Macaca mulatta: one gene and its partners. The main gene of each other region encodes a partner of the protein of the gene in region 3 in a complex. Links are inferred from orthologs where the notes say so. Each region holds a gene or a part of one and is shown on either strand. Other genes may lie near its edges.

What was found.
Region 1: the proteins of RANGAP1 (region 3) and SENP2 are in contact, whole or in part, in a crystal structure (PDB 2IO3), measured with the Homo sapiens proteins. The link is inferred for Macaca mulatta from reciprocal best matches to the Homo sapiens genes RANGAP1 and SENP2. Residues at the interface, in NP_001265580.1 of Homo sapiens: Glu467, Asn508, Thr511, Thr514, Arg515, Val518, His519, Leu523, Lys524, Ser525, Glu526, Asp527, Val529; in NP_067640.2 of Homo sapiens: Tyr408, His409, Trp410, Val477, His478, Asp495, Met497, Gly498, Gln499, Lys500, Pro536, His537, Gln541, Gln542, Asn544, Gly545.
Region 2: the proteins of RANGAP1 (region 3) and RAN are in contact, whole or in part, in a cryo-EM structure (PDB 9B62), measured with the Homo sapiens proteins. The link is inferred for Macaca mulatta from reciprocal best matches to the Homo sapiens genes RANGAP1 and RAN. Residues at the interface, in NP_001265580.1 of Homo sapiens: Ser29, Gly58, Asn59, Thr60, Asp86, Thr89, Gly90, Arg91, Leu92, Arg93, Ile96, Asp121, Ala123, Phe124, Gly125, Asp127, Asn151, Cys152, Gly153, Met154, Gly155, Arg189, Asn190, Arg191, Gln217, Asn244, Asp245, Asn246, Thr247, Asp273; in NP_006316.1 of Homo sapiens: Asp18, Gly20, Tyr39, Val40, Ala41, Thr42, Leu43, Gly44, Val45, Glu46, Glu70, Lys71, Leu75, Arg76, Tyr79, Asp91, Thr93, Ser94, Arg95, Val96, Thr97, Asn100, Lys123, Asp128, Arg129, Lys130, Lys132, Lys134.

Annotation. Positions count from the first base shown.
Region 1 is NC_133407.1:97,766,823-97,770,465, reverse strand, and holds part of SENP2 (sentrin-specific protease 2), read right to left. Parts: intron 2,781-3,643; coding exon 2,729-2,780; intron 2,059-2,728; coding exon 1,995-2,058; intron 814-1,994; coding exon 640-813; intron 1-639. UniProt on the Homo sapiens protein: Protease that catalyzes two essential functions in the SUMO pathway.
Region 2 is NC_133416.1:138,253,245-138,257,409, reverse strand, and holds the start of RAN (GTP-binding nuclear protein Ran), read right to left. Parts: upstream 2,878-4,165; 5' UTR 2,846-2,877; intron 2,381-2,845; 5' UTR 2,371-2,380; coding exon 2,335-2,370; intron 2,130-2,334; coding exon 2,045-2,129; intron 1,963-2,044; coding exon 1,837-1,962; intron 429-1,836; coding exon 241-428; intron 1-240. UniProt on the Homo sapiens protein: GTPase involved in nucleocytoplasmic transport, participating both to the import and the export from the nucleus of proteins and RNAs. Switches between a cytoplasmic GDP- and a nuclear GTP-bound state by nucleotide exchange and GTP hydrolysis.
Region 3 is NC_133415.1:10,253,307-10,256,949, reverse strand, and holds part of RANGAP1 (ran GTPase-activating protein 1), read right to left. Parts: intron 3,466-3,643; coding exon 3,352-3,465; coding exon of another isoform or gene 3,313-3,351; intron 2,992-3,312; coding exon of another isoform or gene 2,935-2,991; coding exon 2,835-2,934; intron 2,749-2,834; coding exon 2,664-2,748; intron 1,471-2,663; coding exon of another isoform or gene 1,459-1,470; coding exon 1,275-1,458; intron 1-1,274. UniProt on the Homo sapiens protein: GTPase activator for RAN. Converts cytoplasmic GTP-bound RAN to GDP-bound RAN, which is essential for RAN-mediated nuclear import and export. Mediates dissociation of cargo from nuclear export complexes containing XPO1, RAN and RANBP2 after nuclear export.

The DNA of each region.
Region 1 (3,643 bases), on a different chromosome or scaffold from region 3:
AAACTCCATCTCAAAAAAAAAAAAAAAAGAAGAAATTATTTTCTTCTAAATATATGCTTCCTCCCCCAGCACACAGCTTCACTATTTTATGGATCTCTCTCTCTCTCCACCTGCATGCCCAATATAACAGTAAGTATTCAAGAGATTTGCCTACTAGGGCAACATTGTAGAGGAAGCCAAGATGTGGCACATCTTTAAGAATTTTAACTACCTTCATTCTTCATGTTCTGTAAGTTTTTATTATTTTCAAATGCAATAATCAGCAAAAGGGGCATTTTAGTAAACTGTAACCACTTTTTTAAAAAATGCAATGAACTTATTCCTAATACCAAACCCATACTATATAACTCAACATATTTGAAGGTTAGAATTTACAAAGAATCTGTTGTATTCCAAGATATGAGATGATTGTGTTGACTCACATTTGCTAAATATCAATCTGATCCCTTAGGCCACTAATGATCATGACTCACTAAAGATCAATGTAGTCAAAGTGAATAAACAGACTATGGACCTGATTTGTTTTCATACATTCATCTCTAGTCTGGAGAAAGTCCTCAAAACAAAATATTCAAGTTTAGAATAACTGAGGTTATTTAAAGACATGCCTCTTTTTAGGATCAATACAAAGAACAATACCTCTGTGAGTTCAAGGAGATCGTCCGTTCTTCTGTCCCTCTCTTTGCCTGAGCAATTCTTTTCCTTTGTCTCAATTGACACTTTCCTCCTGAGTAAGCCATTGCTTCCGCTGCCCAGGCGGAGTCGGGCCGACACTTCTTCTGATAGGTCGGGCTCCAGTTGGTATCCCCTCCTCTGATCAAAAAAGTATCTAAATTCTACTGACATGTTTGATACTTGCAAATATAAACACGGATTACACATGAAATATAAAACTGCCACTAATGTGAAAGAAAAGAGAATTAGCAAATCCCCCAAGTGAGTAGATTTACCATATCTGTCTGTCCCTGCAAGGGGGAACAAAAAAAGCTCCAGACCTAGGCCTCACAGGACCCTCAGTTACAAACCATGAAACAGAACACTCACCACCTTCCCTGGAAGTAGCAAGAAAAGTATTTTCAGTTCTCCTATCACAATTAAAAACAGTATGTTTAAAAGATATTATGAAAGTTTTAAACAGCAAAAAATATGACCCACAATCCCATCACTCAGAATAAATCCCTACTATCTTTACCGTAACTAAACTTGGTTCTAGTTCATCCTTGTAAAAAGTCATTTTATATGACAGAAAATGCACAAAACATTAACATACCACTTACTTCATTTTTGTAAAATGAACAACTATATAACCACAATTGTGGTAAACAAATAGAATTCTGCCAGCACCCCAGAACATATCATCTCTTTCCAGAGATGTATGACTTTTAAGAAATTCTCCCTAAGAAGCCATAAAATGTAGGTAATGTGTTGGTATGGAGGCAGGTTGGTCTCTCATAAACAAAGGTGGCTACTGTAGAGGCAAAACTCCAACAACTCAGAAGGCAGAAAAAAGTTGTGTATTTTCAATGTTTCCTGTTGCTTTGTTGCCTTTTTTTTTTTTTTTTTTTTTTGGAGACAGAGTCTCACTGTGTCACCCAGGCTGGAGTGCAGTGGTGTGATCACAGCCCACTGCAGCCTTGACCTCTTGGGCTCAAGCGATCCTCCCACCTTAGCTTCCCGAGTAGCTGGGACTACAGATGTGCCACCATGCCTGGCTAAGTTTTAAATTTTTTTGTGGAGACAGTCTCACTATGTTGCCCAGGCTGGTCTCAAACTCCTGGGCTCAAGTGATCCTTCTGCCTTGGCCTCCCAAAGTTCTGGTATTACAGGTATGAGCCACTGTGCCTGGCTGGCTTGCTGCTTTTTTAAAGAAAAACAACAGAATTAACAATCAAAGTAACACACATATATATATACTTTTTCTTGCTTTTCATGGGCACCAAAACATAAGTTATGTAAGAACACAGATATCAAATGTAACGGGGATTTTCACTTACACTTTCATTTTCAAATCTAATTCCGATCATCTTCTCCGTATCAGAAATTTTCCCCTTTGAACACCTAAGGAAACAAATTGAGAGATGACAGACTTCTGCTAGATGACTTACATCCTAGTTTTAGAAATAAGATTTCATAATTTGTAAATAAAAATTGCCTTGAGTTTATACAATACTCTAAACCAAGAGTCGACAAACTTTTCTGAAAAGGAACAGACGGTATTTTAGGCTTTGCAGGTTTTATGGTCTTGGGCACATCGTGGCAACTCTGCCACTGTAATTTAAAAGCAGCCATAGATAGTGTGTAAATGAATTCGCATGTTCCAGTAGAAATTTACTATACAAAAATAGGTAAGTAGACCAGATTTGGCCCATGGGCCATAGTTTACAAACTCTGCTGTAAACCATCATCCCAAAATCCTAAAGCATGCAGAGCTGCCTTTACTGTTCCTATCCTAAAAACACTGATCACTAGACATCCCCACACCAACCAAACTCCCATCTAAGAAGCATGTGTTTCTCCCAACCACTGATGCCTGAGAGATAAAGGGCACCCCCCAACCCACCAGGCTAGGGTGGGCATCTGACACAAGAGCTAGCTACCTATCTACCTAAATATGCTGACCAACTACCAGAACTCAAGAGAGTTCACAGTTCCTCAGAACTGCTTACTCATAAATATGGCTTAGAAAATAAGAAAATATATATTAAAAGAATGAACTGAATATACGTACCTCTTTTCACTTCTCAATGAACATAGAGGTCCCTTTGTTTCAACAAGTCTATCTGTGAGGATGGTAAAGAAAAGATTAAATGTTTCCTTCATTAATGAATAATATAGTTAGAATTTCAGGTTACAGAGTTTCCACAATGTCAAGACATTCCTATACATTGAAATGCTACAGTGAATTCCAAAGACACTAGCCTCCCTATACACTAAGTTGCCTAAAAAAATGCATACATATCTTTGCTACATATCTTTGTTGTTTAAATATAATCTTTACTATAAACTGAGTGATATCTGCTCATTTGGTAAGCTGTCATTTAGTGGACAGTAAGTGGAGAAATATAAGGAAATTGTTATATAGGGAATATAATAAAATTTCAGCTCACAAAAGAGTTGCTACTATCTAGCAGCTTAAGGATAATTATCCAGAGCCATGTTATGAATCTACTTCACCTTGAAACAGCTGTTCTACTAAACTCCTAGATAAGCCCCAGTCAATGCTGTGAGGTTTTTTTGTTTTTGTTTTTTTGAGACAGAGTCTCGCTGTCGCCCAGGCTGGAGTGCAGTGGTGTGATCTTGGCTCACTGCAACATCCACCTCCCAGGTTCAAGCGATTCTACTGCCTCAGCCTCCCAAGTAGCTGGGATTACAGCCAAGTGTCACCATGCCTGGCTAAGTTTTGTATTTTTAGTAGAGATGGGGTTTTACCATGTTGTCCAGGCTGGTCTTGAACTCCTGACCTCAGGTGACCCACCTGCCTTGGCCTCCCAAAGTGCTGGGATTACAGGCGTGAGCCACCACGCCTGGCCCAATGCCGTGAGATTTGACAGTATTTTGGTACACCATCTACACTTGAATGTCAATTTTCTACCTCATATGAACACTGTAACATGAAATAAGGTCAATATATTAAGACAAGGCT
Region 2 (4,165 bases), on a different chromosome or scaffold from region 3:
GGTACATGCCTTTAATCCAGCTACTAGGGGAGCTGAGACAGGAGAACTGCTTGAACCCGGGAGGCGGAGGTCGCAGCGAGCCCAGATTGCGTCACTGCACTCCAGCCTGGGGGACAGAGCGGGACTCCATCTTGGGAGAAAAAAAATCATTTCCATATATAATAGACACTGGTCAATTTCATGGTCTTACATACAATCTCCGCTAAGAGAAATAACTCAGGAAGTTTTAATTTTACACACCTGAAGATTCTTCTTTCGGTGGAAGACAATGGATTTCGCCTTCACTTTCCTGTCCTTAATGTCCACTTTGTTACCACACAACACAATGGGGATGTTTTCACACACTCGCACCAGATCTCTATGCCAGTTAGGCACGTTCTTGTAAGTAACTCTCGATGTTACGTCAAACATGATGATGGCACACTGGGCTGAAAGAAACAGTTGCGGTAATTAGTACACTGTTTACCACACAAGTGAAGAATGCTAAGAACCGCAGACTAGGATTCAACTATAGTCTTAGACCTCAACAAGGCACCTAGATCTCTCCCCTCACTTTCAAAGTCTCTTTCAATTCTAAGAACATTAACACAGAACTCTTCCTAAGAAAGATGAGCTGATTCTATCAAATCTCCCTGATAAACTTCACCATTAATACTCCCCTCATCCCCAAAACACTATCTGAAGTAATTAATGCCAAGTGAGATTCTGGAGAACCAAGCTGCCATATTCTGAGGGTAGGGCCTGGAAATAGTCTTCAGAAAGTCTTTAAATGGCCGACTATACTAGGAAATATCATTCCTGTCTTAAAAACTCCAGATAGGCCAAGCGATGTGGCTCATGCCTGTAATCCCAGCACTTTGAGAGGCTGAGGTGGGTGGATCACCTGAGCTCATGAGTTCCAGACCAGCATGGGCAACATGGTGAATCCCCATCCCTACCAAAAAAAAATACAAAAATTAGTCAGGCAAAGTGGCAGGTGCCTGTAGTCCCAGCTACTCAGGAGGCTGAGGCTTAGGAGGCGGAAGCTGCACTCCAGGTTGGGCAACAAAACAAGACCCTGTCTCAAAAAAAAAAAAATTAAATAACCCAGATAAAGTCTATATACTCACCTGCAGGAATAACTATGGTACAGTTAGTAAGGCAAGAAACCACAACTTTTTGGTTAAAGGATTTTTTGGGGGGGAAATTCTTGTGTTTATATGTACACGTTCAAGAAGAGCAAAAGGCATGGAATGATTCCAGATAATGTGTTATTAGCAACGTGAGGTTCCAGGAGAGATGAGTATTTTGTTTATTCCTCTCTTTTTGGTACAATGAACATTTTCCTTGAGATTTTTAAATCAAACTATTTGAGAAAAATACTCTGCACAACTTACTACAAACAATTTAACAAGAAATCGGCTAGTCTTGTATAACACTTGTTAAGACCTCCTATCTCCTCTGGTCTAGTATCTGGTGTTGCTTTGTAATGGACTAGAAATATTCATTGATCGCCACACCAAACTACACACAAGAACCAAAGTTTTCAAATACTGAAACTGCTGTTAACAGCCTGTTATTGTTTTAAACATGACTTATAAGTTCCAGTGTAAGTCATAGGTTTTTCTAAACCATGCCTAGCATGACACAGCATGCAACTTTCATAAAATTTTCTCCTCTGCCACCAAAATGGTGGTCAACTCCCTGAAGTCCACGTCTTTTTTTAACCCAGAAATGACACAATTCCCATTACAGTATTAAGCACTATTTGTTGGAACAGACCTGATTTTCTATAACCTTGAAAACTGAAGTACACAAAACCTCTCAAAAACTGTTCAGCAAGTTACAAATGCCTACCTTGGATATAATAGCCATCTCTCAGTCCGCCGAATTTCTCCTGGCCGGCTGTGTCCCATACATTGAATTTAATAGGTCCTCTGTTGGTGTGGAACACTAGGGGATGAACCTCAACACCCAAGGTGGCTAAAACGGAAACGACATGATTGAGTGGATGAATTTACCCATTTCTCACGTATTTCCACAAGCAAGGTTTTCCTGCACATACCTACATACTTCTTCTCAAATTCACCAGTCAAATGACGCTTCACGAAGGTCGTTTTTCCAGTACCACCATCACCAACCAATACAAGCTGTTGGAGAACACATTTGGAAGTAAACCCAAAACACTTCACCTCTCAAGATCCCAGAGTCATGGAACTTTAACCATCACAGGCTCACTTAAAACAAAGAATATGGATGCGGGGCCCCGTTACAGCCATCGTGGGTCCGGGAGGAGGGACCCGCGAGTCGCACGCGGTCGGACTCGGCCGCCTCCCGCCCCGCAGGGTTACCTACTTTGAACTGGACCTGGGGCTCTCCCTGCGCAGCCATCGCGGCGTTCCTGCGGAGGCAGAGGACGGAGGCGAGCGCTCGCGCGGCCCCGCAGCCCATGGCGGCCCCGCTCCCGCGCCCCCAGCGCCCCACGTGCCCGCCCCACAAAGGCCTCCCGCCCGCGGCGCCATGGCGGCCGGGCCTCGGAGCGGGAAGGCGGCGGGCGGGGCCGGCATCCGGGGCGGCGGGGCGCGGGGAACGGCGGACGGAGGAGTCGGGATAGGGACGGGACTGAGACCGGGACGGGAATGAGAGCGGAGGATGAAACGGGGGTTCGCGGGGGCGGGCGCCGACCCCATGCCCGTCTCCTGCCCCGGCACGGCCGGGCCCGCGCCACCCACCTACTCACAGCCGCCCGCTGTCCCTGGGCCCGCCACCTGCCCCGGCCCTGACCCCGGCTCCGGCCCCTATCCCGCCGCCGCCGCCCCTGTCCCCGCCCGGCCCTGCCCCCGCCCGGCCCGCCGCGTCTCACTACCTTCCAGAAGCGTCTCCGCGCCCGTCCGACTGAGGCTGGAAAGATGGCGGAAGCGCAATTCAAACGCCGGAGACGCAGCCGACGCCGGCGCGCGGGCAGGGGCGGGGCCGACGGGGGCGGGGTTGACAAGGGGCGGGGCAACGGCACGGCGCCCGCCCACGTGGCCCGCGCGTGCGCGCGCGCACGCACGCAACCTGGTTCAGTCGGCCGCTGCGGCCGGCGCTGCGCTTAGGGTGGGGCGGGAGGCGCGATGGACCGCGTGGGAGGGCGAGCCGGGAGCGCGCACGCATGCCGGCCCGTGGGGGCCACGTGCGCCGGCGCCCAGGGCGGGCTCGGGGGCGCGCATGCGCTGACAGGGAGGCGGCGCGCCCCTGGGCGGGAGTCGTTGGGCGCGGCCGGACTGTCGCGGCCGTGCTACCTCTTGGGTGGGAGGCGGTACTCGCTTGGGCAGACGCGGTCAGGCACGCGGCTTCCAGGCGCTGGCCAGCCAGTCCTTGTCTGTGCCCCGTGGGGTTGGGGTACTTGGGGTCCTGGGGCTTAGGATGGCGCTCGCGTGCGCGCAGGACGGGTGAGTGACAGAACGGATGAATGAATGAAGGGATCCTAGGCTGGGCCTCCAGAGTCAGCCCGCGGCTCTGTCTCTCCAGATCGCAGCCTTCACGCCCCCAGGACCAGGGCCAGTTGGAGAGCGAGGAACCAGAGAGGGATGCCCCCACCCCGGAAAATGGCTACTTATTTTTTTTTAAGAGACAGAGTCTCGGCCGGGTGCGGTGGCTCACGCCTGTAATCCCAGCACTTTGGGAGGCCGAGACGGGCGGATCACGAGGTCAGGAGATCAAGACCATCTTGGCTAACACGGTGAAACCCCGTCTCTACTAAAAAATACAAAAAACTAGCCGGGCGAGGTGGCGGGCGCCGGTAGTCCCAGCTACTCGGGAGGCTGAGGCAGGAGAATGGCGTAAACCCGGGAGGCGGAGCTTGCAGTGAGCAGAGATCCGGCCACTGCACTCCAGCCTGGGCGACAGAGCCAGACTCAGTCTCAAAAAAAAAAAAAGAGACAGAGTCTCGCTATTTTGCCCAGGCTGGTCTCGAACTCCCAGGCTCGAACGATCCTCCCGCCTCAGCCTCCCAATTAGCTGGGACTACAGGCGCGCACCACATCCGGGGTAATTTTTTTTCTTTTTTTTTTTTTTTTAATTTTTAGGGACAGGATCTTACTATGTCTCCCAGGTTGGCTTCAGGGGATCCACCCGCCTCGGCCTCCCAAAGCGCCCAGCTTCTCAAAGCGTTTCATAGGTTGGCAGCCTTGGCCGCTGCGTC
Region 3 (3,643 bases):
TACAGTCCAGCCTGGGTAAGCCCTGCTAGCACCAGAGGTGCCCAGAGAAAAACCCGAATTGAGGCGCACCTAGCCATTTGTTTAACTGCTTCCGTAAACCAGAGAAGCAGCCCAATCAGCGTAAGTGTGGGGAGTCCTTGTCCAAAGCCAAGTTCTCCAGGAGCTTTACTTAGGAACCTGACAAGGAATGCAAATGAATGAACTGGAGGTGTGGCAGCCCTGATGCCACCAGCCCCAGGCCAGACACCAAGTGCCCAAGCCAAGTCACGGCCCAGCCACCATCCCAGGAATGGGGGAGCAGTTCCTAAGGGTCACCAAGACAATCTTCTGGTGGGTGGGAAAAAAAAAATTAGAATTTCCATTCATGCTTATTTGTTTATTCTTTCAGAAATCCTTACGCATATATTATAATATACGTAATGCAGCAGCACTGCTACTTATAAATAGACATTTATATTGGAATAAATAGAAATATAGGTAATTATGGCCAGGCGCAGTGGCTCAACACCTGTAATCCCAGCACTTTGGGAGGTTGAGGCGGATGGATCACCTGAGGTCAGGAGTAAAACAAAGACCAGCCTAGCCAACACGGCGAAACCCTGGCTCTACTAAAGATACAAAAATTGGCCAGATGAGGCTGGGCGCAGTGGCTCACACCTGTAATCCCAGCACTTTGGGAGGCGGAGGCAGGCGGATCACGAGGTCAGATCAAGACCATCCTGGCTAACATGGTGAAACCCCATGTCTACTAAAAATATAAAAAATTAGCTGGGCATGGTGGCGGGCACCTGTAGTCCCAGCTACTCAGGAGGCTGAGGCAGGAGAATGGTGTGAACCTGGGAGGCAGAACTTGCAGTGAGCCGAGATCATGCCACTGCACTCCAGCCTGGGCGACAAAGCGAGACGCTGTCTCAAAAAAAACATTGGCCAGGCGGCAAGCACCTGTAATCCCAGCTATTTGGGAGGCTGAGGTATGAGAATCGCTAGAACCCAGGAGGCAGAGGTTGCAGTGAGCTGAGATCACACCACTGCACTCTAGCCTGGGTGACAAGTGAGACTCCGTCTCAAAAAAAAAAAGAAAAAAAGAAAGAAATATAGGTAACTATCATTACACTGAACCATTTTCTTTTTTTTACTCAATATCATGCAATAAAAAAAAAAATGTTTGTGGCTACTGTGCTTAAGGAGACACCCCCTACCCCATTGTGAAAGCACCTCAGGATTTCACGTTCTCAGGACCAGGGCTCTGATTGTGGCAAATGATAGAAACTCACCCCAGTGTTAGGGTCCAGAATCTTCTGTGAGGGTGTGGCTGACTTCTCTCCCTGCCCTCCCTGCTGAGGCTCCTCCTCTTCCTCCTCCTCTTCTTCTTCTTCCTCTTCCTCCTCTTCCTCCTCCTCCTCTTCTTCGGCTTCCTCTTCTTCTTCTCCTTCCTCCTCCTCCTCGTCCTCGTCGTCACTGCAGAAAGAGCTGGCTGAAGCAGATCCTCTCTACCCAGCAGCCCAGGTTGGCTGCAAGGCCTGGCTCCATGAGCCCAGAGACCTCAGCTCAGCCAGGCGGGAGAGAGCCTGGTGGGGTGGGAGCACCTGCTCCCAGGGCAGGGGTAGGTAGATCACCAGAGAAATCCACGCTGTGGACACAAAAGAATCACATCTTGTTCCTGTCCTCGAGGAGCCCCAAGTTTCATGGGGAGACAGAAAACGAAGACAGCTTTGTCACATCCAGAGCCCAGGGCTTGGCAGGAACACTGCCCAGGTTGAGATGCCAGCGCAGGGGGCGCCCATATCCACATGACCTCAGGAAGCTACAGGCGTGGGGGAGGAAGTAGAGTAGGAGTGTCCTTGCCCCACAGGAAGGCTGGTCCATTTCCGAGGGACTGTGGGACCTGTAAGGTTCAGCCCACTTCGGAGTCCCCAGTTCCCAGCCTCAGCTCAGGGCCTAGCACCGAGGAGACACGACTGAGTATCTGACGCATGAATGAGGCTGACTTGGAGATGAAAGGAGTACAGGGAGCCAGGTGCTTGATGGCCCAACCGGACTTGGATCCAGAAGATGGCCACTCCCCGGTCACCCACCTTCGCCTCCAGGTAGACTCCCCAGGCCCCACAGTCTCTTCCTTTCTAGAGTCAGCATCTTAAGAACAATACTGAGTGCAGCCCCTTCTGGCTACCCCCACCTCCCACCCCCATCACTCCCCAGGCCCCACCACATCAGGATGAGATCTGGCCTCACCCCTTCAGAGGCCTCCCCAACTCCACCACTCTACAGGGTGGCCCCGCTTAGCCCGGACGAGATCCTCTGTTGAATGGACAACTCATTCTGTCTCCTCCGTCATGAGACAGAAACCCTGAGTGTCCCACCCTTATAGCTCTGATGCCTAGTGTATGACCTGGTACATAACAGGAGTGCAACCAACATTTCTGAATAAATACAAGTAGAAACAAATAAAGGGGCCAGGTGTGGTGGTGGGTGCCTGTAATCCCAGCTACTTGGGAGGCCGAGGCAGGAGAATCGCTTGAACCCAGGAGGTGGAAGCTGCAGTGAGCTGAGATCGCACCACTGTACTTTAGCCTGGGCAACAGAGCAAGACTCCGTCTCAAGAAAAAGAAAGAAAGGAATGGCCTGACCCCGACCTCTGGGGCCGCCCACCCTGAGTTCCCTACCTGAGGGACGCCAGCACCTTGGCCATGTTGAAGCCCTCCAGCACCTCCTGAAGCTGTTCACAGCCTTCTTCTCCCAGGGTGTTGCCTGCTCAAGGGGAGGGAAGAGCAGTCAGCCCGGGGTGCCAGGGCCAGCCCAGCAGACCTGTGCAGAGGCCTCCCCCATCTGACTACCATTCAGGTCCAGCTTCTCCAGCTCAGTTTTGTCTGCCATGGCCTCGGCAACAGCCAGGGCAGCGTCCCTCTTGATTTCACAGAATGACAAGTTCAGCTCCTGAAAATAAGAGGAAGGGTTGGAGGCAGGCAGAAACCCAGGCCAGGACACCAGGTTCTACTCTAAGCCTCAGTTTCCCCAAGTGAGAATATGGCAGGCTCTGTCCTCAGGATTGGGCAAAGTGGGCAGGAAGAATAACACCAACAACAAAAATAATGCCCTGCAACCAACGACGAGTCACGTACTGAGCGTGTTTACTCTACGACAGTGACGCACACCACCCCTGCCTCCCACTTTAGAAATGAAGAAACCACGGCTCAGAGGGGTGTGCAGGCTCACACAGCACCACAGAGCCCGAAGTGGGGGAGCTGGGATATGGATGCAGGCCTGCCTGCCTTCAGACCAGACCCCTGCGCCCCCAGCCACCCCACCACCCACAGACCCCAGAGGGAGGACGTCAGGCATCCAGGCTGGCACCTTTAGCTTGGGCAGGCCGCCACGGATGGCATCTGCAATGGCAACGGCACCCTTGGAGCGCACCAGGCAGTCCCCAAAATTGATCACCTCCACCTGCCGCAAGGTCTTCAAGGTCTGCAAGGTGGAAGTAAGGGTCCAGAGTGAGGGTGCAGGCCATACCCCAGCCCTCAGCAAGTCCCGGGGGCCCCACACGGTCACATCCCACATCAGCCACCACACACTGTCCTTCTCTGCAAGTCACTAGCTTTGCTGTCTTCTTGTAGGCCTCTGGGTCCCTGGCCAAACCTCCTCC